Linked DNA regions of Drosophila melanogaster. The protein of the gene in region 1 purifies or fractionates together with the protein of each later gene. This does not show direct contact. Each region holds a gene or a part of one and is shown in the gene's direction. Other genes may lie near its edges.

Evidence for each region.
Region 2: the proteins of Pez (region 1) and Prx4 purify together in Drosophila melanogaster (affinity purification with mass spectrometry, with the first as the bait; one large-scale study listed by BioGRID). This does not show direct contact.
Region 3: the proteins of Pez (region 1) and Mapmodulin purify together in Drosophila melanogaster (affinity purification with mass spectrometry, with the first as the bait; one large-scale study listed by BioGRID). This does not show direct contact.

The regions. Positions count from the first base shown.
Region 1 is NT_033779.5:6,331,517-6,341,316, reverse strand, and holds Pez (Pez), read left to right. Parts: upstream 1-2,645; 5' UTR 2,646-2,669; intron 2,670-2,823; 5' UTR 2,824-3,174; coding exon 3,175-3,259; intron 3,260-4,045; coding exon 4,046-6,002; intron 6,003-6,063; coding exon 6,064-6,931; intron 6,932-6,992; coding exon 6,993-7,211; intron 7,212-7,278; coding exon 7,279-7,455; intron 7,456-7,509; coding exon 7,510-7,833; intron 7,834-7,895; coding exon 7,896-8,024; 3' UTR 8,025-8,436; downstream 8,437-9,800.
Region 2 is NT_037436.4:3,039,761-3,045,678, forward strand, and holds Prx4 (peroxiredoxin 4), read left to right. Parts: upstream 1-2,598; 5' UTR 2,599-2,690; intron 2,691-2,789; exon of another isoform or gene 2,790-3,012; intron 3,013-3,284; 5' UTR 3,285-3,291; coding exon 3,292-3,445; intron 3,446-3,511; coding exon 3,512-3,629; intron 3,630-3,680; coding exon 3,681-4,086; intron 4,087-4,144; coding exon 4,145-4,195; 3' UTR 4,196-4,414; downstream 4,415-5,918. Other genes in the region: CG2162 (uncharacterized protein), read left to right, coding at 1-58, 167-216; scramb2 (scramblase 2), read right to left, coding at 5,086-5,109, 5,213-5,371.
Region 3 is NT_033778.4:17,865,012-17,874,516, reverse strand, and holds Mapmodulin (mapmodulin), read left to right. Parts: upstream 1-2,501; 5' UTR 2,502-2,612; intron 2,613-2,855; 5' UTR 2,856-3,140; coding exon 3,141-3,188; intron 3,189-4,659; exon of another isoform or gene 4,660-5,490; intron 5,491-5,708; coding exon 5,709-6,085; intron 6,086-6,147; coding exon 6,148-6,230; intron 6,231-6,428; coding exon 6,429-6,734; intron 6,735-6,957; coding exon 6,958-7,191; intron 7,192-7,263; coding exon 7,264-7,307; 3' UTR 7,308-8,198; downstream 8,199-9,505. Other genes in the region: thr (three rows), read left to right, coding at 8,667-8,966, 9,022-9,505. UniProt on the Drosophila melanogaster protein: Implicated in a number of cellular processes, including proliferation, differentiation, caspase-dependent and caspase-independent apoptosis, suppression of transformation (tumor suppressor), inhibition of protein phosphatase 2A, regulation of mRNA trafficking and stability, and inhibition of acetyltransferases as part of the INHAT (inhibitor of histone acetyltransferases) complex.

The DNA.
Region 1 (9,800 bases):
ACTTGGAGTTCAATGAAATTCGCCCCGACTGCTTTGAGTTTTAACTAGTGCCGAAAGCATTTTTACTAGAACTCTCAACTTAAGCAGTTGGAAGTTTGAGCTGATCCCAGGTGTTATCTTTTGTTTTGTGGGGGCTTAAGGAGCTCTACTGAATTTTCACCTTGAATTCGGGTTTGACTTAATGCTTTAATGTTGCTAATGCGCCGCTACGTGCGTGAACTTTGTATAGAGTCGCGTAATAGTTCTTGTTGCTGTGGTCAGCAAAAGGCAGAAAATAAATATTAAACACATGCGAGGCATATGCAAATCGACGCCAGTATCGTCATTCTCGTCCGATTTCGAGGAAGGTATGTGTTCGACGCTCCCGATAACAACCAACACTGACAACAAGTGGAGGTGAACATAAAATTGGCGTCTTTTTATAGGTCACCCATGTGTGCTGTTCGATTGACGGAATGACGACAGCGCAATGATTAAATTGTGTTAGGAAGCACACATATATATCACGAAAACCAACAAATGTTCCAAAAATGTTAACATAAATTCGGTTTCTTTAGTTTTTTTTACGAAACAATAGATCCTAACTCGTTCAAATGTGTATATGTTTCCTCCAAAAACACTCTTTATTTGAGTGCTTCTTTTTCTAGTTTACGACTAAGTAGTTAATCTAAATGAATGAGATGAATGATCTTGGTTATTTCTGCTTAGCCATCTATTCAAACAAAGTTTACGATCTAGTCACAACAAACGCCCATCTAGTATCACCCTACACACTTGTAATGTGCGTGATAACGCTTAGAATCTCGCTTGGCATATGTGATTTTAAAATTCCCTAAACACGATGACACTCTCGAATTACTCGTCCGAATCGACGGAGAATTATAAAGTAAGCATGACTATGCATATTTATTTCGCGCCCAAGTGGCTTTCGTTATCATAAACCTAGTTTGGCTGTCTGGAAAGGATGAAATGTAACTCCGCGCTCACTTTAACCGAAGTCCATTAAATGTAATCCCATTACGGAACCTGCCCTTTTAATGGTTCTTTAATTGGAAGAACTAATAGTCTAGCTTTAATAGGTAGGTAACCCTATAATGGGGTGTCATAACATATAATATAATATATTTATTTAGTTTGTCTTTGAACTTGAATTTCAGAGAACTAATTTTTATCCATAAAAGTTCTTAGGAAGTGTACAACAATGTACAATTTTTATATTTTAACTGATTTATATATATGTAAATATGTATGTACGTACATACCTAGACTTGCAGTATCTCCTACTAAGTTCTTAGTTCTTTCAAAATGGAACGATTTTACAGAGTTCAGTTATACAAGGCAGCAAGAGTATACACACTTCGGCTTTTCGAACTAAGCCACTTTCAATTTCGTTGTAGTAAATTTTGATACTAGGATTTTGTTTACATCGTCATTAATGTGTGTGTGTTTAATTAGCATAAAACAATATATCGGTTGGCTTTTTTCACAAATTGTTTTTAATAAATTGGAAACTAAATGCAACGCCAACTCCAATTGGAAAATGTGTAAAGTTGGTGTACTTAGGATTTTCAAATGTTGATTTTTTGAATAAGGAAAGGCAGGTTAACGGAAATTAAGAACATAGCTTCGTCGCTCATATCGAGTGCTTACTGTACGGGAAGCAGACAGTCGACAGCTGTTCTCAGCGGAGAGCCACGAGCAGAAAAGTAACTTGATGGCCGATTGGCGACCCGAGTCGCGTTTTTGGTTATGCAATTCGGCCTACGACTCGGTTTGAGACGTGAAAGGCGGCGATACAGCGTGCAAATAGCGCAAATTAATAACAGAAGTGAATTAAATTAAATTACACGCAGCGCGGACGGAGTGAGCGAGAGCGCACTATCGCACGGGCGGCGGCGAGGCTGTGCGAGAGCGAGAGGGAGAGGGAGACTGGGCGAGCGCAGCAACAGGTACTGAACTTTAAACTCGCTCGCAGGGCTCTTCTGTGTGTGTGTGTGTGTGTGAGCGAGCGAGTGAGCGATACGGTTGCTCCATCATCTGTCCTCGTCGCTGCAACCTTGACCGCCAATGCAGCGCTCGAAATATCTAAGCAGCAAATTAATTATGGACTGGATTTCGATTTTGGTAATCGGGTTTTGCTTTTTGGATTTCGACAGTGCGTGGCCTTGTGATTCGGCTCCTCGAAACTCACCGATCGCGATCTCCGACTGCGCTGCTCCTAATCCTCTGTAGATAGACGACGATCGGTGGATGTGGATGTGGATTTGTGCCCCGTCTCTGGTGCTCTTCCTGTTGCAGCCCCTCTCAGCAGCTTGGCAGACGTCAAAGCCCTTGATTTAAATTCGCTTTATTCAGTTACGCAGCGGGGCGAAGCCACGATCTTAATTTTAATTCGCTTTATTCGATAAAACGTTGACGGAGGGCGGCAAGTGCAAAGGGGAAGTGACGACTACCACGGCAGCAGCAGTACTAAATTACTGAATTCCAGAGGGACCGTCGTCGAATCGCGGTGTGGATTTCTCAGTTGCGCGCACTTTCCAGCACTGGAGTTGGAACGGATAACAGAGCTATGCCAGCACGCCACCTATGTGTCCAGTAGCTCTGTTAAGTTTGATATTTTACTGTTCGCTAGAAACCGTTATTCTCTTGCTGTGTACAACGAAGTATTCGTGTGTATCAGTGGTTTTAATATCTTTAGGAATTTTATTTAATCACTGCTGACTGCATTGTTATATATTTTAAAATATAAACTGTTTTGTTTCAGTTACATATTTCTTGGTTGCACTTGTTTTCTTTAACAGAACTAAACCTATTTTCTTGCAGCCCACTGCGCAAAGACATACCGATAGTCAATGCCGCCTATCGATCCATTCGATGCCAGCCACCGAGATACTCAGTCAGCACCTGCGTATCGATATCAGCACTTCGGTCTCTTCGTTTTATTTCTCGTGAATTCCTTTATTTATTGTCGTTAACTGCCCAATTACTATCTTTAACTTTACTTAACCAATACGCGCAGTGCTCTGGTTTGCGTGTCTAATCAGCTGATTCAAATCGGCTAATTCCAATTGAGCAATTTACTCCCCCAAAAAAAACCTGTGGTGTCGATGGTGCTGCCGTTTTAGCCACTTTTGTGAGCCCAGCGGAGCCCCGGTGGAGCAAAATAGTCGAAAAATGCCATTGAAATTCTTGAAAAAGTGTCGCCAGTACAATGTTACGTCCAAGAGTTTGTTTGTTATATCAGTGCATCACCTGCTGGGTGAGTAAGCCCCACATTCCTAGAGGCGCTACGCCCCCCACAACAACAACAGCGACAGCAACGACAACAACAACAACAGCAATAGCAACAGTGGAGACGAGACAATAGAAACAACAAGAAATCGGTGACAAAGCCACAACTTAACAGCTGCCGTCTGCCATTGCAATTGGGATTATTTAATTGGGAATGTGCACAACGATTGTCATGCGGCGCCCACTTCCAGTTTAGCTGGAATTCGCCTTCCAAGGCACAGACCACAAAAATGCCTTCACTTGTTGCATTCTAGTTAACAGTCGCTGAGTTAACAGAGGCGCACAGGACACATAACAGCGACCGTTAATTCTAAAACTAACAGACTGCCTATGAGAACTTCCTAACTTTGCGTACTTCACATTTTGTATATTATTTACTCTCGATTTTGGGCTAAACAAAAGCATGTTTTGTAGTTCTTATACACTTAACCGAATGTACTTATTTGGCAAGCGAACTGAAGACCTTGACTCAATTAAAACCACCCAAATTTCTCCAACCATCAGAAAGGTTTTAGACATTAGGCCTACGTTTCGTTAGTTAGGAAATACGACAGATGAGAGAAGCCAATTGAGCGGCGCCGCCACAATTTCCGTCCATAAAACGTATAAGGTCTCGAAAGAGATTATAAACTTTATTTGCATATTTGCGCGTGCGACGGGCAGGGCCAAATTGTTGTTGTGCGGCGAATTTAGAGTGCTTGGAGCGACTTAGGCCGATGTTTGAAGCACGTTTTCACTCTTACCTACATTGCAGACACATCCAGCACAGTGGACTGCACGATCAGCTCGGAGAGCAAGGGACAGGAGTGCCTGGACAACGTTTGCCAACGTTTGCTAATCCAGCAGCCGGAGTTCTTTGGACTGCGCTACCTGGTCAAGGGCAAGGACAAGGAGGACGAGTTCAAATGGATCGACCTGGAGCGCTCGCTCAGTCGGCAGCTGGAGAAGTATGCGGCGGGCCCCAAGATCTACTTGCGCGTTCGCCACTACGTGACCACTGGCGTGCGCCACTTGAGCGACGAAGCCACGCGCTTTTACTACTTTCTGCAGCTGAAGAGCGACATCTACGAGGGCCGCATCGCCTGTGACATCCGCACGGCCATACTGCTGGCGCTCTACTGCCGCCAGGCGGAGTACGATAGCTACCAGGGCGACAAACAGAGCAAGGACTATCTGAAGAAGTCGCTGGTCCTGCCGCGCAACATGCAAGGCCTGGCCAACGATGACAGCATGCTGGAGGGACTGATCGTGGAGGTCCTGCAGCAGCAGGCGGGCATTGCACATCTGAGTCAGAGCCAGGCGGAGGAGATGTACATACAGTGCTGCCAGCAGCTGGAGGGGTATGGGGAGGAACGTTTCGCCGCCAAGGACACGCTCGGCAATGATTTGTTGCTGGGCCTGGCCATCAACGGGATGGTGGTGAACGCGGACAACGGTCGGCAGTATTTTCCATGGAAGGAGTTCCACACGGTGACCATCGACAAGCGAACGATTAAGATCGAGCAGAACAAGCTGGATGGTGGCGGCAGCATCGTGGGAAGCTTTATATTCAGCGAGGCGGACACGGCACGTTACTTCTGGAAGCTCACCATTAGCCAGCATAAGTTTTTCAAGCGCTATATTGACACGGCCACGCCCTCGAGCCTGGGAAGTGGTGCGGATGCGGAGAGTGGTCCGTTGGGCGTTGACAGCGTTGGTTATGTCGACTACGATTACAATGAAGCGGCGGCCGCCGAGCAACTGCAACAGCATCATCAGCAGCAGCAACATATGCAGCAGCAGCAACAGATTCAGCAGCAGCAGATGATTTCCTCCAACATTTCGCTGGCTACCAGCGCTAACCAGATGTTGGGACAAAGCAGCTCCTGCCTGGATTTGAGCAACAACAACCTGCACAGCAGCAGTGGCATGTTGCACCACGGAGGCAGCAACAACAACAATAACAACGATGAGCGGGAGCGCCTCAAAGCCATGCTGCCCACATACCGCCCGGCACCAGACTATGAGACGGCGGTCCAACTAAAGTACCGCACACCATCGGCGGAATTCCACAATGTGGCACTGGCAATGGCCGCGCCCGGAAATGCCTACTATGCGGGCTCCCAGCCTGATGTACACAATCCAGGCATGCACAACGAGAACTTACTGTATGGTCATATGACTGCGCATCGTTATCCGGACGTGGCCCAGCCGGCGGCTGCCCTACACCACCACATCAACCTGTACCAGGCACAGCATCAACCGCAGTCACATCCACAGCCCATGAGCCCCGCCCAGGCATACCTAGAGCTCTCGCAGCGCATGCATATGATGCGTCACAAGGCCCCACCGCCGTATGTCAATCGGCTGAGTTCCTCCTCCACGCCCGATCTGGCCGTGGCCACTCCCCGTCCCCTTCAGGGTTTCCGCAACTACGTAAGCGGCTCCTCGCCGGATCTAGTCTCTAACCGCACGCTCTTCAATGGCGGTCAGTACGTTGCTCTGCCCGCAGGCGGACATGCCGGAAATATTCCAACATCTTCCGGAGCCACCATGTTGCACCAGTACCAGTACGTGAGCCACATGGGGCACTCGCAGCCCTATCTGCCCCCGCACGGCACCTTCGAGAACCTCAACATGATCGAGGAGCAGCCGTCTATAATGTCCCAGCTGCGACAGTCAGCGATGAGTCAGGCAGCAGCTGCAGCTGCCGGATCTGTGGTAACGCAGAGGTAAGTGTAATGAAGTCGTAAAATAAACAATATAACAATACTTTTCGCTACGATCTTGCAGTTCACCTACCCTGCCGCCGAGTGGATATCGTAGTTCTGTGCCCCCGCCAGCGAGCAGCCCGCTTCCACCGCCGGTGGTTGCTTCGTCCCATAAATCGGCGACACCGGCGCCACTACAGAGGAGCTTGGTGAACGGTTCCATCGAGCCCATCTACGAGAATGTACCCCTGCCACAGAGAGCCTCTGGTGGCAGCAGTGGTGCCGCAAATACTGAGGCTATGCGTCAAAGAGCTTCCTCCATACAGTCCGCCCCAGGCGTTGTCCCTGTTCCAGCTGCTCGAAACGCCAGCTCCAACAACGTAGTTACTGTAACTGTCAATTCTCCACCCGACGATGGAAACATAAAGAAGTACGGCGCAGACCGAGCAGCAAGCACGGAGCTGCTGTTCCTGGAACCGCAGGCTCCTAAGCGGACCAATCGAGCCGCCAGTGCAGCGCCAGATATGGGAGCCACACCTCCGCCACGACAACATCGCTCAACAGCAAGCCTAAACAAGTCGTCGACGGTCGACATGATCACGCCGGCCGGAGACACGCTGCAACAGCAGTTCAGTGCCATGAATCTTTCTGCCAACACATCAGCTTCCACATCCTCCATGTTCAACTCAACGCTGGACACCACGTCCTCATCGGCGGCCAGCAAAGACTTAAAACGCAAGAAGCGATGGAACTTTTTGTCACGCAGCAAAACACCCGACAAACAGAAATCCGCCACACTGGGCAGGGAAAAGGCCACAACGGCAGGTCAGCACTCCAAGCTGGCGGCAAAGCTAAAGCTAGCCCAAGACGATCTCAACCTGCCAAATCGTTGGTCCACAGGCGTCAACAAGCCGCAGCCCATTTCTGGACGATATTCCAAGGACAAACTGGTAGGTTAAAAGTTATTACGATTTGGAATCCATTTCGATTAAAGCGCTTGTCAACTTCCAGTGCCAAATCCTAGACCAAAAGCTAAGTGACTCGCAGCTATTCATGGAGTTCGAACGCATACCGAAACGACGGGAGCATGCCCTATACGAATGCGCCCTGCTGGAGGAGAACGAGCCAAAGAACCACGACCCCAACTTTTTACCCTATGACGACAACAGAGTGCGACTGACTCCATGCCGAGACAATCGGCATGGTTACGTTAATGCTTCCTCCATATCTGTACGTTCAGTTGACACTCAAGATGAAAAGCAAATTGTGTATTTCATTGTTGGAACATCTTTTTCAGGCCACTGTGGGCACAAAGCAGCGGTTCTATATTGTGGCCCAGTCGCCACAAGAACCGCTTACCATGCGCATCTTCTGGCAGTGTGTATGGGAGGCGGATGTGTATTTGGTGGTCCAGCTAACCGAGGATATGAGCTATATTCCTCGTAACAGTCATCAGCGTCTCGAGTTTGGACAGGTAAGTGAACCGCATAAGCTTTTAGTTCTGTTCCTCAAAGGTTCTACTTTCTAGTTCCAAGTGTATCAGGAATTCTCACAAACCACCGATCGATGCACCACCATCAAGCTGCGCCTTTACCACGTACCATCGCGTCGATACCGATCCGTTTGGTATTTGCAGTACGCTGACTGGGCGGAGCAGAATTGTCCACGCGATGTGAATCACTTCCTCGATTTCCTCGAGGAGCTGAATTCCGTGCGATTGGCATCTACGCAAGAAGTTCCGCCGGGACATAACACAAACCCACCAGTTCTTCTTCACTGTCTGGAGGGAGGCGGTCGTTCGGGAGTGACACTGACCGCCGATCTTTTACTGTACACGTTGGACCACAATGAGGTGAGTGGAGAAAGGGAATTTATTATTCCATTTCCATAAGCATTATTTTCTTACGATCGCAGGACCTGGATATACCTCGAGTTATCGGGCAGCTAAGGCATCAACGGGATAGCATTATACCATCCCTGGCGCAATACAAGTTCATATACAATCTGCTTATTACCTATTTGAAGCGCACGAGGCTCATCTGAGGTTCTAAAGAATATGGAAAACTTGGCAAGAAGTATTTTTCTTTGTTTAAGCTTAAATTGTTTATATCGAACAAATTTCCTTTAGTTCTCGTTTTAAAAAATCAGTACAACTCCGTTCAGCAATTTTATATTTCTACTGGCAGCTGTTGTCCCTATAATCGTTAAATTTTAATACCAACTAGTTTTTAAGCTCTAGATTTGTTATAAAAACAGAACCCCCCACAATGGCCACTTTATAGATACATACATAAATATAAAAGTAGCGGATAGGTAGTTGTTTTGGCAAGCCAGTAAAAATGCCAGTTAACTAACCACAGCCACAACAATTGGGCTTAGGTTTAAAGCCGAACTATTTATACATGTGTATTTTAATAAATTTCGAAATAAAAACAATAACAAATTGATAAAAAGCAATAAGCACATTTAACTCTTATGCGACGTGCAACGTGTTTTTTCTTAAAAAATTATTCCCAGCGCGCTTCCCCAAAGAAAAGGTTTGAAAAAAATTAATTTTATTTTTGTTAATTTGGTTTGATGGTCCGAAACATAGTTAATACATGTATAATTGTCACATAGGTCTTAAAATATGAATTAAATGTACTTCATGTTAGTTTGGCGATCTGAAGACATTTTCATACAATACGTGGCAAAAAGGAAGACATATTATGAATTTATAGTCTTCAGATTTAGGACAAATTTTGTTTTTCGGTAATAAAAGCCAGACATTCATTTTTTAGACGTCTTCTCAATTTGATGAAAAGTTTAAAAATCTTTTTAAACTGCCCACTTTTTTCATTCCCCACTAGAATATTGAACATTTATAAGAAGACGTCCCCAGGATCTTTGAAAATCAAAGATACAATTAAAAGATCACTTTTTCAAGGTAATATTCATTATTAAATAATTTTATTTTTGTGCACCTTTGCAGACAAGTTGCAAAAATAAACGCTCAACATGACATTGAAAAAAGTCTCTCGTCGTTTTTCAAAGATTCCTAAAAATCTAATCATTTAGCTGCACAACATACAGATATATAAATACAGAAAATCATTAAGCAAAATACGCGATTTTTATTTATACAGAGTACAATTTAGGCTTCGATCTAATGTTTTTCTTAAGCCTTAAAAAGCAAATTTGGTATTTAGTCTAACTTAAAAGTACAAAGAGCACAATGTATACATATATAGCATATCCAATATCGTTTGATTTGATTTGTTTTTGTTTTCTCGAATTCAGCAAAACATAGTTTGATTTTCTCTTTGAAAATGAAGCGAGAAACGGGTCTCCACTCATGGTTTGTATATATATAGAGATTTCTTGTATATAGCTTGTATATGTAGGTTGTATATATATATATTGTATATATCTATGTATATAACAGGCATTCATGCACACACAAATATTCATATTGGAGTTCCTTACGTGTGAGAAAAATACGATCAAAAATGATTATATATGGTTTTTTATATGTCTCAGGTTTGTCTTTCATAACTTATTTCTGTCTTTCGTGGAAGTTGTACTTTGATGATTTCCTTTTTTTGTGGGCTAGTCTAGGTATTGCTAGGAGTTGTATAATTCTATACACAAATATTGCATTTGTCTGCCACTCTTCCTTTGAATTCTTCGGAACGAATGGTCAAAAATATATTCGAAAAAATGTTTTGTCTATCTCTCTTTTGGGCTTAACAACTAAATATTTGGAATTGGAGCGAAGGTTTTTCGTAATATATATGTATATATAGCGTTTAAAGGAGTATGCTTGTAATAAAATTAGCT
Region 2 (5,918 bases), on another chromosome or scaffold:
CTGCCCACGGCGCCGCAGGAACGGGAGAACGAGAGGCGGGTACTACGTGAAGCCAAAGGTGAGTGCGGGCCATGTAACTAAACTGGGTCAAGGATATACTTGATTTGGAATCATTGGCGCTGCCTTCCCTTGGTCTTTTATTAATCTGCCTTATCTTTTTATTCAGAACGCAAACTGCTAGCTGCCAAACAGCGGGACGAAGTCTGGGAGAGCTAGACCGCGGCCCGGAAGAAGGCCAGGTGCATTTTTCTCACCCTTTTCTCATCTGCAATAAATGCGGCAGCAAACACAACACCATGTGGATCGACAACAAGAAACACCACCATTAACGCCCACAAAAACAATTCTCAATCAAAGCTAACACAGTAAATGAGTAATTCGCATGCTAAGCAATGTACTTTTAATGTTCGCTTTTTGTGAAATTAACACAGACTTTTGCTCAATTTGTTGTAGTTTTTAGAGGATGCAATGCATATTATATCATCTAGGCCGTAAGAGAGAAATATCTATATTTATTGGTCGTAGCAATTAAACGTGCAGAGAGACGCGTGTACGTGTTGTTTTAACTCCAGCCGTAAACCTAATTTTTAAGCGCGAGCAATTTATATATTGATATACAGTTTGTCAAGAAACTGTTTACACACTGTGAAATAAGTTGAATTTTTGACTTTAAAGCTAAAAATAAAGGGTTTTTTGCTTAATTAAACGCAATTTTTTTATAAAATATAATTAAACAATATTTATTTTACTTATAAATCAAAAAACAAATTAAAAATATTAAATATACAAGAAAATAAACAACAAATTCCAAGTTTACACACTTTTGAGACTGTCAAGAAACTCTTTACACAAAACACTAAATCGAAGTTTAATCCTAAATTTTTTAATTATTTTATTAAAATTTTAAAAGTTTTGGTATGTAGTATGTTCCCCATTGGCTTTAGCTACAAGTTGAAGCCTTTTTTTCATGGATTGGACAAGTTTTTGCAGGTCATATTCAAACGGGATCTTTTCACACTCTTCGACTATTACAGTCATAAGCTGTTGTTGTGTTTTAGGTCCCTTTTTGCCACCTTCTTCTTTAAGTAGGTCCACAAATTTTCAATGGGGTTCAGATCAGGACTCTGAGGGGGCGTATCGATCACTTTACCACAGTTATTAAGGCGCCAGGTGCGTACATTGCACTCTTTATGTTTCTGATCATGTCCTGGTAAAACTTAAGATTTGGCTTGTTGTTGCTAACTAGACCGAATTTTTCTGCACTGGCCTTCAAATTTGTTTTTTAACATTTCTAGATATTGCACGGCAGTTATTGTGCTCTCAATTAAGGCTAGTTTTCCCACTCCACGGCTGGTGATACAGCCCCAAACCATCAGTGACATTTTTCCAAATTTTATCGTTGGAATGATATTTTGTTTTTCTAGCGCACTCAACGGTTTGCGCCATACTCTGCTTGGCCCGTCGTTATAAAAGAGCATCATTTTTGTTTCGTCACAAAATATGACGTCATCCCAGTACTCTTCCGCATGATCCATCATGCTCACAGCGAATTAATGACGCTTTTCCATATTGGCATCTGATAGCAAAGGGTTTTTCCTTGCAAATCTTGAAGAGTACCTATGGCGTAGGATGACTTGGCGCACAGTTTCGTGTGACACAGTTAGGTGGCATTCTTGCCTGATATCCAGAGCAAGTGATCTGACCGAGATTCGGGGGTTCGCAATCACTATTCGCATAATAAAGCGGTCTACACGCTTTTTAATTTTAATTTTCCGCCCACCACCGCTCTTAGGTTCAAGCCTGCCCTCTTTTTCCGAGCCTTTTAAAACATTGTAGACGGTCTTACGGGATACAGGAAACATTTATACTAATTCTGGAAAAGATTTTCCCAACTGGTGGTTATAGTTTATTAATTGGGTAACTTCAAAAGTTAATCTCTTTCCAGGCATTTTATTAAATTTAATAATTCGCTTTAAGCACGTTTGATCAGCAAAATTTCACAAGCAAAGTCAACAAAATTTCAATAGAAGCGTTGTAAAAAGCAATGCAAAGCCAAAAATAACGGAAAAATCGAGTTCGTTCTAAGAAAAAGAACAAAACAAAGTAGGAAAACAAAATGTGTAAAGAGTTTCTTGACAGTCTCAAAAGTGTGTAAACTTGGAATTTGTTGTTTATTTTCTTGTATATTTAATATTTTTAATTTGTTTTTTGATTTATAAGTAAAATAAATATTGTTTAATTATATTTTATAAAAAAATTGCGTTTAATTAAGCAAAAAACCCTTTATTTTTAGCTTTAAAGTCAAAAATTCAACTTATTTCACAGTGTGTAAACAGTTTCTTGACAAACTGTATATATTTTAATAAAGTTTATAGCGTAAGTAAAAGTTAACTGAGAAAGTGTTTTTTACTTAAAAAAAATTGGATAGATCATAGCATGGCCATACATCGCTTTTGATTCGCCAATGCAGCACAGATATTTTTTCTAAAATAATATTCTTTCAAAATTGCAGTTACGCGTTAATATGAAATGAAAATTCAAATATTTCATAATGAAATTTATGTTGGCAATGCTGAACTATGCATTGGTGTCGGAACGACAGTATGGTATTTTTGCGTATTACGGTCACACCAATGCCGGCAGAACAATTTGTTATTAAAACAAAAAGAGTTAATTATAGCGCTTAAAAGGTAACAGCTGTGCGTTTGCATTGTTGCTTAATGCAAGCAAGTTAACTACCCTGCAACTAAAAATAAATATTCAAATCGGAGCTAGGCAATCGCATTGGCATTGGAATTTTAGTAGTTTTGTAAACTATATTTGTTTAAATCGGTTACACGCTGACAACTATAAATTATAATAGCAGTGAAGTGAATGAAATTGATAAGCTTATCTTTTCGGAAGCGCAGCAACAATAAGCGCGTTCCACCAAAATCAATTGAAGTTCTGCCCGTTGAAATAGTTACTTTTTTGACTGCGTGGCTACAAGTTGTGGGCGTGTTCGAATTTTGGGTATGTGCGTACAGTAGAGACTGGCTGACACGGACGGAACAAGGATTTAGTACATAGAAGGAGTATCTTTTCTTTGAAGTTTAGTTTTGTTCCTAATTAACATTCAAAATTATATATCTTTACATAATTTACAAAATTAAAGATAGTTGGGCGACCACTGTACACAGATTTATTATAAATATAAAGAGCGGCAATAATTGTAAAGGCCGCGTGTAATAAATAGCGTATAAACCGAATCCAATAGCCATATACGTACGTGGATCTCGTTTCAGCCCAATCATGTCCAAGTACTTATCTGTCCTACTGCTGTCCGCGGCACTCGTTGGAGCTGCCAAGCCGGAAGATAATGAATCGTGCTATTCCTTCGCCGGCGGCTCCGTTTATCCCGACCAGCCGAAGGGCGACCATCAGCTGCAGTACACCAAGGCAGTCAGTGAGTTCCATTGGATGCAAAAAACCAGGGATCACTATTAAGTTGCTGCTACCCTTATTTCCCCAGTTTCCAAGCCAGCTCCGCAGTTCGAGGGCACCGCCGTGGTTAATAAGGAGATTGTGAAGCTATCATTGTCCCAGTATCTAGGGAAATATGTGGTGCTACTCTTCTACCCACTGGACTTGTAAGTTTACATTTACATTTAGTATGATCGCATTTCTCATTGCCATTTTAGCACCTTTGTATGCCCAACGGAGATCATTGCCTTCTCCGACCGCATCGCCGAGTTCAAGAAGATCAAGACCGAGGTGATTGGCGTCAGCGTGGACTCGCACTTCACCCACTTGGCCTGGATAAACACGCCGCGCAAGGAGGGCGGCCTGGGCGACGTGAAGATCCCACTGCTCTCCGATCTAACGCATAAGATCAGCAAGGACTACGGAGTCTACTTGGAGTCCAGCGGTCATGCGCTGCGCGGTCTCTTCATTATCGATCAGACCGGAGTGCTGCGACAGATCACCATGAATGATTTGCCCGTGGGACGCTCTGTGGACGAGACTATTCGTCTGGTTCAGGCCTTCCAGTATACGGACACCCATGGAGAGGTTTGCCCAGCAGGTTGGCGGCCAGGTGCCGATACGGTAGGTTTTTTGAAGCATTGCCTTAGGTAAATTCTTTTTGATACCATTACCTTTACAGATCGTTCCCAATCCTGAGGAGAAGACGAAGTACTTTGCCAAGAACAACTAGGGACAGATAGAGATGCACATTACCTTAGTAGCCTAGCCCAGTTACATTCCTAATGTTCACGACTGAATCACGATGCAAACGAACAATCGCTAGAGTCCTCTGTACAGAAAATCCAAATCCGCAATGCCACCGATTGTGAATATTTCGCATTTGCTTTGTACAAAACATAGTTTGTTTATTTTACAGCATAACTGAGATATAAATAAATTCATGAAGTACATGTGAAGGTGATGAAAATTGCGCGGCGCCACAGGAGCGGTACCAAAAAGGAGGAGATGTTTTCGATCTCAAAATGCCTTGAAAGCTGGCTCACTAGGCCACTCTAATGGGTAACAATTCGATTGCAATTAGTTTCATACAAAAATATATGTAATATGTAATATGTAGTAGGTAAAAGGTAATAGTAAATTAGTTAGGTACGCCATGGTTGCAATTAAGTTATCCTGTGCTCCGACCTATGCGTACAACAAAGCTAGGTCTGTCGAGGTATATAAATCTGGGGAAACGGGACGGGGGCGACGACAATAACTAGGACGTCATAAGGCACTCGTTCTCGTCGGATTCTTCGTGTGTAGTCTGCTTTCTGTTTTCCGTTTTGTGCGTTTGTCAGTAAGTGCTTCATTGTGGTGAGCTTTAAATGCCAAAACCGAGGTTCATAAAATAACGAAGGTGCAACTGCGGTTCAGATCCAAGTTGTGCGGGAGATTCCTTTGCTGCGGAGATTCCGTATCGATCAAAGCGTTGCACTGTTCAGATTCCCGGAAACGTTAATCAAATAAGGGGTTAAAAAGTTCTTAGAGCTATGACCATGCAACACGTCGAACCAAAAAGCAGTCGGCGATTATAATGTTTGGGCGTTTGTTCCTTTAGAATGCGATTCATCATACAGCCTACTGCTCGTAGTAAACCGCGTCCTGGAATTAAGACAAACACAAATCAATGAAGGGAAACGAGTATATAGCACTGGCATATGCTTTATTTCACTCAGTGATATATATGATATACTGATATACTCACAATCAAAAAGAGCGCTGCGAATATGAGCGCCTTCATGCGGACATCCAGATTCAGGGGGAAGGTGACGCTGAAGTAGTCCGCATCGGTGAACAGCTCCCTTCCCAGTCCGGACCATTGTTTGCTGATTTTGCCGATCTCCTCGTTGTTGGCGCTCAATACCTGTGCGCGGTTAAAGGGGCGAGAGATGTTTGCGTTTCGCATTAATCGGTTCGCAGTTCGCGGCATCGCAATTAATTGACTCGCTCTGGACAGTCAGGCATGGCTAACCATGACGTCACTGCCTCGGACTGCAGTCTCTTTGCTTCTGTACGATCACAGCAGCGGTCAGTAAAAGGGCTCATAGATCGGCACAAACACTTGGTGCATTTTAGCCATAAAAAGTATAAATTGATTGATTGATTTTCCTATATCTAGAGGCATCTGTTAAATAACGTATACAATTGAAAATTTAAAACTAGTGTGGGTGCTATTAATTTGAACGCTTCTGTCTGTTCATAATTATTTAGAATATATGTATATAGGCACTTATAAATGTTTAATAATTAAAAAAGCAATTAAGTGGACGCCTGATACTGTTCATTTTGGAATTTTATAAAGCTTCGTCTTTGACTGATGAAGACCATACATATGTACTCCTCCGAAGAATTTAAAGCTAATCCGCTGACCGCTGCTGTGTGTGTATACACTTGTTTGGGCATTGGGAATC
Region 3 (9,505 bases), on another chromosome or scaffold:
TCCTTGGGACTTTCACGATTTTTTTTTTGTTTTGGTTTGCGGGTGTGTAAGGTCAGATTATAATCGTATTTTTCAATCTGAATAAAATTAGCCGAGATTTTTCATTTCGTTTTTCAGTTTTATTTTGGATTAGAATTTATGGTAGTCGCTCAAAACACTTTTTTTTTTTTGCTTCGGTGGGAGAAACACATGTTGTACCACGAAAATTTCGTTTTAGTAAACATGTGCCAAAAATTAAATCAACTATATGTGAGTGAGTTTATAATTTGATTACTTTTATAATTTATGTCTTCGGATTTCGCTGTTTGAAATTTGAATTTGCACTTTTCCACTTGCAACATTGTTGCTGGCAACTTTCGCGCTTCTGCACTTGAACTAGTTTCCCGTTACAAGCCTTTTCAATTTTCCTCAATTTTCCCAGCCGCACGCTAGCACATACACACAAACACACACACACGCACGCAGACAGGGAGAAAGGTGGCCAAATCCACTGATAACAGTTTCGCCTGGATTCAGTTACGGATGTATGCGCTATACCTTTCGCCACGTCCGACTTTCGAAGCCACTCAACAGCAACTGTTGCAAATGTCGAAAAGGCAACTTGTGGCTGCTGCTTTTCGCCTCTGTCGACGTCGCAGCATCTCTTTTTTCCCGAGCTTTTCCGAGAGCTTTTCCTCGCACCACGGCAAACTGTTGATTGGTCTCCTGGATGTGCGAATGTGTGTGCGTGTCTTTTGGCCAGAAAGAGAGCACAAAAGAGAGTCCATCGTCGACGGCATCGCCGTGCTTTACTTAGTTAATTAGTACCCATTCAGATGGCAGTAAACAGTAGTTAGTTCCTGTTAATGGGCCTTAAAATAAGTCATTCAAAATGGCATTAATAAGTGCACGGAAATGAAGGTGGTAAGTAATTTTAATTTGAATACATACTTATATCTAAAATTTGTCACTAGAAAAAGAAACAAAAATAATTGTTTAAAATAACTTTAACCTTTTGCCCAACATTATATTGTTGAAAAAGGGGGCTAAAAAAGTAATGTTCAAAGTGGTAATAACAGATACCATCCACACCCTCGAAGTCAACCATAATCTCTCGAAATTTGTTTTCCATTCCGTTTATTTGAACCCAGCACAAAGCCATTAAAGCTGATGTTTACCAAAGCAACAGTTACCAATGGCACACAAGTACACAAATTCTGTGGCTGAAAGAAAAGCTCATCGTGGCACTTGCTGCTATTTGGAGACCGCAAATAGACGGCACACTCGCAGAATTAACGCGCTTTTAATAGATTAGAGCCAAGCGACGGCTCTTCAGGGGCACTTCGAATGGTGCAACCGATGATGCCGCTCAAGGACCTGTGCACCCGATCTGCAGATAATGCTAACAACCTGACCGACACCCGCAACCCGTTCCCACCTTGTTATTAGTATCCCCAAGTGGAGCGAGGACACACGTTTGGCAAATTTGCCCAGCCAGAAGGACGACTAATTGATACGCAAGCCCAAGCTGGCACGTAGGAAAATAACAAAAAAAAAACGCAGTTTACACAGCATTATGTTATAATTGTAATTACATACAAGTGCGATAAACTACTAAAGAATTCATTTGCAATAGAATATTCCCTCAATGTTCGAAACAGATAATATTTTTCCCACTGTGTGCGGCTGAAGTAATTTTTCTTCTTTGATACTGCAAAAACAATTACCTGAATACCTGAATGTTTTCGTATGCTGCGCGGCCGCATTAAGCTCACATTAAAATTATCAGGAATAAAGAGCGGCAGGTAAACGAGGCGAGGAAATCAAATTGAATCGTTTACATCATTTAAAGCTACGCCAAGTTCACGGACACGACGGCAACTTTGCGTCCTTGCGGCCATTTTGTTCAATCCTGTGTACCCATACATACACATGGTTGCTTGTTGGGAAAAGCTAAGGGGCCATGTCAACAGACGGTTAACGCTTTACTTCCTCGAAAGGCGTTCGTTGACTTCGCAGCGTAAAATAAGCAAGCTTATGCTGCTTTGTTCTGTTATTTTTCGCGCTTTTCGCAGGGCTAATTAAGGCGTTCGTCCTTCGAAACGGTAATCCTATATATCCTCGATTCAGCGACCCTGTCTTGCAGCATCGCATTACCGACGGATGCACGCGCTTCTGATTATGCCGCATTATTGCTAACGGCGTCATTTAGTCTTAATAGGTATTTTGAAATGTGATTAACGCTCCCGTCCGTGATAAGCGCTTTAACGTGTGCTTATTACAAATTAAATAGTGGTATACTATTTTGGTTTTAGTGCAGAAGGAAGTTCTTAAATTAAATACATTTGAATTTGGCGCTCAAAAAGCAGACTGGTACAAAATTACAGCATCTAACGGTCGCACTTTAGCGAATACATGCACCTATCGTAGCAGGTACCCACTACCTTCCAAGCTAGTTCGCTCTCTCAACCCAAATTGCCATCACTACTAGACAAAATCAATCGATATATGCAGGGGATAGTATAGGAGGTATCGAACAATCATCAACTGAAGTGCCAGCTCTAGCGTTTTGCTTTGGTTGAAAATACAATTAAAAATTGATTCTGAAGTATTTAAATATTCTGCATCGCCAGGTGAGTGCGTGTTGCCAGCATTGGCATATTTTTCGGCCGGAAAAAGGATTCACAGTCCATTCAACCATCGAATTGATGTCCAAAAGTCGGTTTAAAAAGGCGCGTCATGTGCTGGAATCGAAGAAAATGCGTTACAATGCAGCAGTTGCAGTTGTGCACTTTATTTTTTGTGTTTCAATAATTACCAGTAACTAATTAATTTTCTACCTCCCCCACCCACTCTCCACCCATCTCCCTTTTTAGCCATAAAAATCTGCGAAAACCAAACGGTGGCGGCATCGAAAATACCGAAAGAAGCACAAAAAGAAAAATTTGCAAGGCTGCGTCTGTGTTAGTGAGCGTGTGCGAGCGCGCGTGTGTTGCTCTGTGTGCGTGTGTGTGTTGGCGAGTGCGAGTCTTTTGCCTTCAGTGCGTGCGCTGTTTCTCGTGTGGAGCCCAAAGGAAGAAAAACACACAAAAATACAAGGAATCCGCTAAGGAAAAAAGCGTAACCAAAAAGAACATCCAAAACAAACAAGTGCCGCTGCAATGGAGAAGAGAATAGAACTGGAAAGACGCGCACGCAAAGTAAATCAGGTAAGCTAAATACAAACGATGAAAAAAAACACGCGCCACAAACTTAAATTGAGGTCCAAATTAAGTGACGCTTTCGTGTGTGTGTGCATTATCATGTAAATCTAGTTTCAATTTGTTCATAGACGACATACAAAAAGTGCTACGGAAGAAGCAGCAAAGCGGCATCAACAAGAAAAACGAAAAAAAGAAAAGAAATTGATCGCCATAAGCAAATTCTACACACATGCCTCTGTGTGCGTGCGTGTTTGTATGCATGTGACGCCAGTGTTGCCATGTGCGCGCATTTTTGCGCCTTGCCTGCTGTTTGCTCCTTTAGAATGCAGGTTTTGAATTCGTTTACAAGCTATTACGTATTTAATTGCAAGTCCCTGAGTGATTTTACTGCATGGCTGATGGAAAGCGATCTTTTCGGGCCAGACGAGCTAGAGCACTTGGAATTGTATTATCTCCACAGCTGGCAATGCTCCTCGCTTGTTGTTCTTGCTGCTGCTGTTCTCGTCGTAGTTGTTGTTGTGGTTATTGCCGGCCTTCAATTGTGACAAACACGGGCAACATGTGTTTGTGTGTACGTGTGTTTGACTGCATGTTGTAATTTCAGGTTATTTGATACCAAATTGTATCTATAACAATATTATAGCGCGCGCATCATCCGCACAAACACACGCGTACCACGCACAAAAGATACACATGCATACGTAAGACGACTTATGCACAAAATAATCGACACATAGCATACATATCAGTACATCCATCCATACATATGTACATACATATATTGACTGCGCAGTCATAATACTTTTATGCTCCCCTTCTTCTTTTCTTCTTCTAACGTGTTTACCTGCACGCCATCGCCTCTAGCCATCCCGCTCCCGCCCACTCGAAGTGGCAAAGAAATGCAGGCGAAAAGACAAAGCCGCTGATTAATAAACATGCGCTCTGGCTGGCCGGCCAGCCTACTCAATCTCAATCAGCGGTCACCCAACCGCCCAGCCACCCACTGCCCGCCCAAAATGCACCCCACAACAGCGAAGTCAGCAGAAGACAAAAAATAGCAACGTATACACACTCATTCGCGCCTAAGTCAAAGCCAAACGCTGTGTGCATTCATTTCCACTCATTTGCTCAAATACAGTAGACACTCTCTACTGTTAGCTATATTTTAGATCATTTGCATTCCCCACTTTGGTGCTTACTAGATCGATCAATAGATCGAGCACAACCGAATTCTTAGCCGTGAATTTCATACGAACATTTTTTTCATTTCCAATTTTTATAAATTATACCTTTGGGGAAGTGCCACTTTGTTTCCTTTCCAAGAGTTAAATTTTTTGTTTAAACTACACCATATCCATAAAAAGATTCTTAACATAGTTAAATTGATTCCATTACCAAAAACATGATTTTGAAGTTCATCAAACAATAAGTTATTTATATTACAAAGTATATCAAACCGAATACAGATTAGGTTTTGCAGTCAGTTTTTATTTACAATTTTATATTTTCATATTCAATTTTGTTGATAATTATTAAAAATTGTGTTGAGCTACAGTTAATTTTCTTTTAGGATATACCAAGATTCTTGCCACTTAGAAATAAAATAAATTTGAACCATAATTCAGGTTAGAAAGTGTCCGCTGTAAGCACATAACTGTTTCTCGGCTAGACAGAGACGGACAGACGGACTCTGAAGGCACCCATTTTGTTTCTTTGTTGTTGGTTTTGTTGTGGCGTCGTGACATATTGATAATTGGGTAATCTGAAGTGAACTTGCACAGCCTCCAAAAGGCGTACGTTGTGTACATTTATTCATTTGTAGATTATCAGACCACAAAACACCACCCACTCTCACCCCCACCCACTATTCGCAGACAGGCGCAACAACTAAACTACGTCACGGTCAACCATGTTGTTGTTGTTTTGTTGCTGCGAGTGCCGGCTAGTCTTGTTGTTCCCCTGCCATCTCCCTTCCACTTCTTGATAATTCCGTTTTGCTCGTCATTCTTCTCTTTGCGCATTCTGCTTTGTGTCGAAGCACACGCACACATACACACGCTTGTGGCACACACACATATATTGGGGTTACATAAACGCGAGTTGGCACTTTTTCCTCGTCGCCTGCATTACAAAAATATGCAATTTGGCGATGGAGCAGCAGCAATGTTTACCAAGTCATTTGCATTAACGCCAAATTGGTTATTTTGCATGTAATTTCGTTTTGCATTTCAACAAAAAAAAATTTCTCAGCGTTTGATCGATTTTTGCGTATGTATTGTTCTCCATTTTTTTTTTCTGTTCGCTTTGCGTCAAAAAATGTTACAAATGTGACCAGACTGCGAGGCTTGAATATTCCACAATGAATACATCAAATATACCAAAATAATCGGTATCGTTTGTTCTTGTCTTCAATAACTAATATCGATAAGTAATAATTGGTTTAAAAATTATTCAAAACTCGTTTCATATAAATAAAATGAACTACTTCTAATTTATGTATTTACTCTCAACCCTATTATAACCTAGATCACAGAGCTGAATCTGGACAACTGCCGTAGTACAAGCATCGTTGGCCTTACAGATGAATACACAGCCTTGGAATCGCTTAGCTTGATCAACGTGGGTCTCACCACACTGAAAGGTTTCCCCAAGCTGCCCAATTTAAAGAAGCTCGAACTGTCCGACAATCGGATTTCGAGTGGCCTCAACTATCTGACCACTAGCCCCAAACTGCAATATCTCAACTTGTCTGGCAACAAGATAAAGGATCTGGAAACCCTGAAGCCCCTGGAGGAGTTTAAAAATCTGGTTGTTCTGGATTTGTTTAATAACGACGCTACTCAAGTGGATAATTACCGCGAGAAGATCTTCAAGATGTTGCCATCGTTAAATTTCCTAGATGGGTGAGTTTGAGTAACTTCTTTCTATTGTAGAACAATAAAAGTAACTTCTTGACCACTTCCAGATTTGATTGCAACGACGAGGAGGTGCAATCTGATGGCGATGATGATGATGAGGTCAACGGCAACGATTCCGACGAAGTGGGAGGTGTGTATTCGACGTATTTATAGAGACCAAAGATTAAATCGCAGAATTCAGGAGTTTTTTTTTTATAAAAGATTTCCATGTAACCACCATTAAAATTCCATTGTCCGTCTGTTTAACTTAATCGCTTATTGTGAATCGCGCTTTCTTCGTATTAACAATAATATCATATACTCAACCGTGGCTTTTGTCGCCTTTCAGATAAGTGCAATGCATTCTGTTTAAATGGTTTAGAGATCGATTTAGACGAGCTCGAGGCTTTCGAGAAGCGGGTTAAGGCGAAAAAAAGTTTGCAGGACAAACCACCTCCCCAATCGGAGGACAAAGAAGTAGACGAATTAGATGAATACTTGAAAGAGTTGCAGCTAAGGGAATCTACTGATGCTTCAACCGATGAACAATCTGTGATAAATGCCACACCGCAGCCTCCTAGCAATTCTAACTTAAGTTTTGTAATCCTGCTGTATTGGTTCCTTGCCATTTTAAATTTGGGCAGTGCTACATATTGTAAGCATAACGTTTCTGAACTTTTCTTCAGTATTAGTCGAACTTCTCTAACTCGAAAATGCTGCAGAAAAAGTAAAGATTCTCTTACCCACAAGAAGCGTTATAGTAGTTCGTAGGTTTGTTGATCTCAATTCCGTTGAACACATTAAAAAATCGATTTAGGGAAGTTCGAGATGTACAAACAAGCAAGTTGGTTTAATCAAATTTACCTTTGATTTTTCAGTTTCCGACGAAGATGACGACAGCGATGATAGCGACGAAGAGGCGAATGGTGAAGTGTCCCTGTCGGAGGTGTACAATGACGATTTGGAAGAGGATAACTCTGATTGGGAAGGCGAAGACGAGGCTGGCGAGGAGGACGAGGAAGAGGATTCCGATATTGATGATGCCGATGGTGATGCAAACGAATCGGCTGCATCAGTGAATGCCAAGGACAAGGATGGCGAAAAGGAAGCAGGTAAGTTCAATTATTTATATCCCAGACAGCATTAGTTCTTAATGCCATATATTTTCCTTTTTTTCTTTCCAGACGAGTCGCAAGTCAGAGGCAAGAAGAGAAAGCATGATGGTTAAAACCCTGATCTGTCGGTATAGCGTCTTTGTACGTTATAAATTTAAATATACACCCACACACAAAACAAAAACACACACACACATCATATTTTGATAGAAAAAGATGATAAATCCTTTAGGAAACCCACAATTTGTTTCTCTAAAATGTAAGCTAATGAAAGAAGAAATCGACAAAAAGAAAAAACAACAAACAACCCAAACAAAGAGGAGCATAATGAACGTAATAATCAAACAAAGCTAAACAAGAAAAAAATACATGTTTAAGCGAGAAAAATCGAGGAGGAATGCAAAGGAAACCAAGCAAACAACCAATTAAGCAAGTCGCATTAGTATAGCCTCATCCGAGCCCAAGTTCCAGTTTCATTTTAAACACCTTCGCCATCTTCAGGATTCGCAACATGAAATCCAAATCACTATGTTAAAGATTACACAATTACAACGTGTACAATTTTTAGCCATCCAGCAGCATCTTGTTTTCAAATTTCAATCAGTCACGAAAATCAAACAATAGCTTTCCGGCGTTATTTGAACAACTGCGGATTTGTCAACGTTTCGCGTGAAAACGATCACACAATTTACTGCTAAGAACTTTTAACTAACTCTTAAGTCATTCCTTCTTTAAATACGCATAAGTTAAGCATCCTACTTCGCCCACTTTCTGCTCAAGGCGATTTAAACACACTTACATTGTTACCCATCACCCACCTCCCAGATACACAAACTTTATCTCCGCGTCATTCTGTAAACGTAGAGCACTCACTTTTGAGCAACCCGAATTGTTTACCTTTATATACTTTTAAGTGTACTTTTACCACATACCGAAATGTTTCCACTTATTCATTGGCAGTAGTGTTTTCATTAAATGTGGCGAGTAAATCTTATACACAAAACAATTTTAGACAAGACTTTTCATTTAATACACAAGTAATTAACCGATTATTATTAAAGCAGGCCCCGCGTTAATTTAACGAGATGAGATGTGTCTTTACCAGCCCATTGAAACTGAAATACATAAACTACATCATTTTAAAATTGTCTTTTACGGGGGAAAATGGGAAAATGATTTCTATTAAAGAGAAGAGCTTACGCATATGAGCGTATTTTTTTTTATTTAAATCTCGATATCAATAAAGCAACAAATTGTATCGTTATCGGAAATGAGCATGGAAGTTTAGTATTTTCCACAAGAATTTGTAGTATTTGTGTTCTGATATGAAAACTAGAGATATCGATGTTATCGTTAAAGGATTTCCAGCTTTAGCATGGACGGTCACACTGGATCTCAAAATCTGGCGCAAAGCAACAAAAAAGGAAGCGTCGCAGTTAAACTAGTTAAATGTGCCAATTCCCTTTGAAAAAATGTCTACTGATATAGCCACCCAGCTGAAGGGCAGCCGCTCCGATGTGGAAAAAGTCCGCAAAACGGTGGAAGCCAAATTCCGGGAGTTGTCTGGCGATGGACTACCTCTGAGATACGAAGTGAATGTATTGCGCCATATTTGCCTCGCCTTAAAGGATAATCTGCACCAGAACTCGGATCTTTACTGCGACATCATGGGCATAATGCTGCCACGCGTAGTTCCCTGCGAGGAGAAGCCAAGCTTATGGGAAGCGCACTTGTCCAGCCTGCGGTACATACATCATGGCTTGTTTCATCAGGTAGGAGTCGCTATAAGAATCTTCGAATCTTTCTAACCAATTCTCCCGTTCACAGCGATCCATTGAAGCCTGTCAGAAGCTGTACAACCTCATCCGACAACAACCCTGCCGTCTGCAAGAAGAATCAGACTACAAAATATATCTGGACATACATTTGACCCACTTCAATGGTTTCCATGTGCTGCTGCAGAAGCAAAAACTCCCCTTGGAAGCTACAAGTCAATTGTGTTATGCTTTGGAATCATTGGGAGATCTATTCGCAGCCATGACGCAAAGGCAAATAAGTCTATGCGCAACGCTTCTAGTTCAACTAAACGAGAGTTTATTTGGCAAAAGAAGTAGATCATTCTTCAAGTCCCTAAGCTTCCTGCCGTCGGAGAGTCTTGCCAAAATGTTCAACGCGCTGCTTATGCTCCTGGCCAGCAGCACCAGTTCGAACCTGGCCAACTTATTCCCTGAGTGCCTGAGTCTCACGTTGGCTCTCGTACAAATCGACATGTTCAGTCCACAGTCCAATCAACAGATGTCATTGCAGCTGC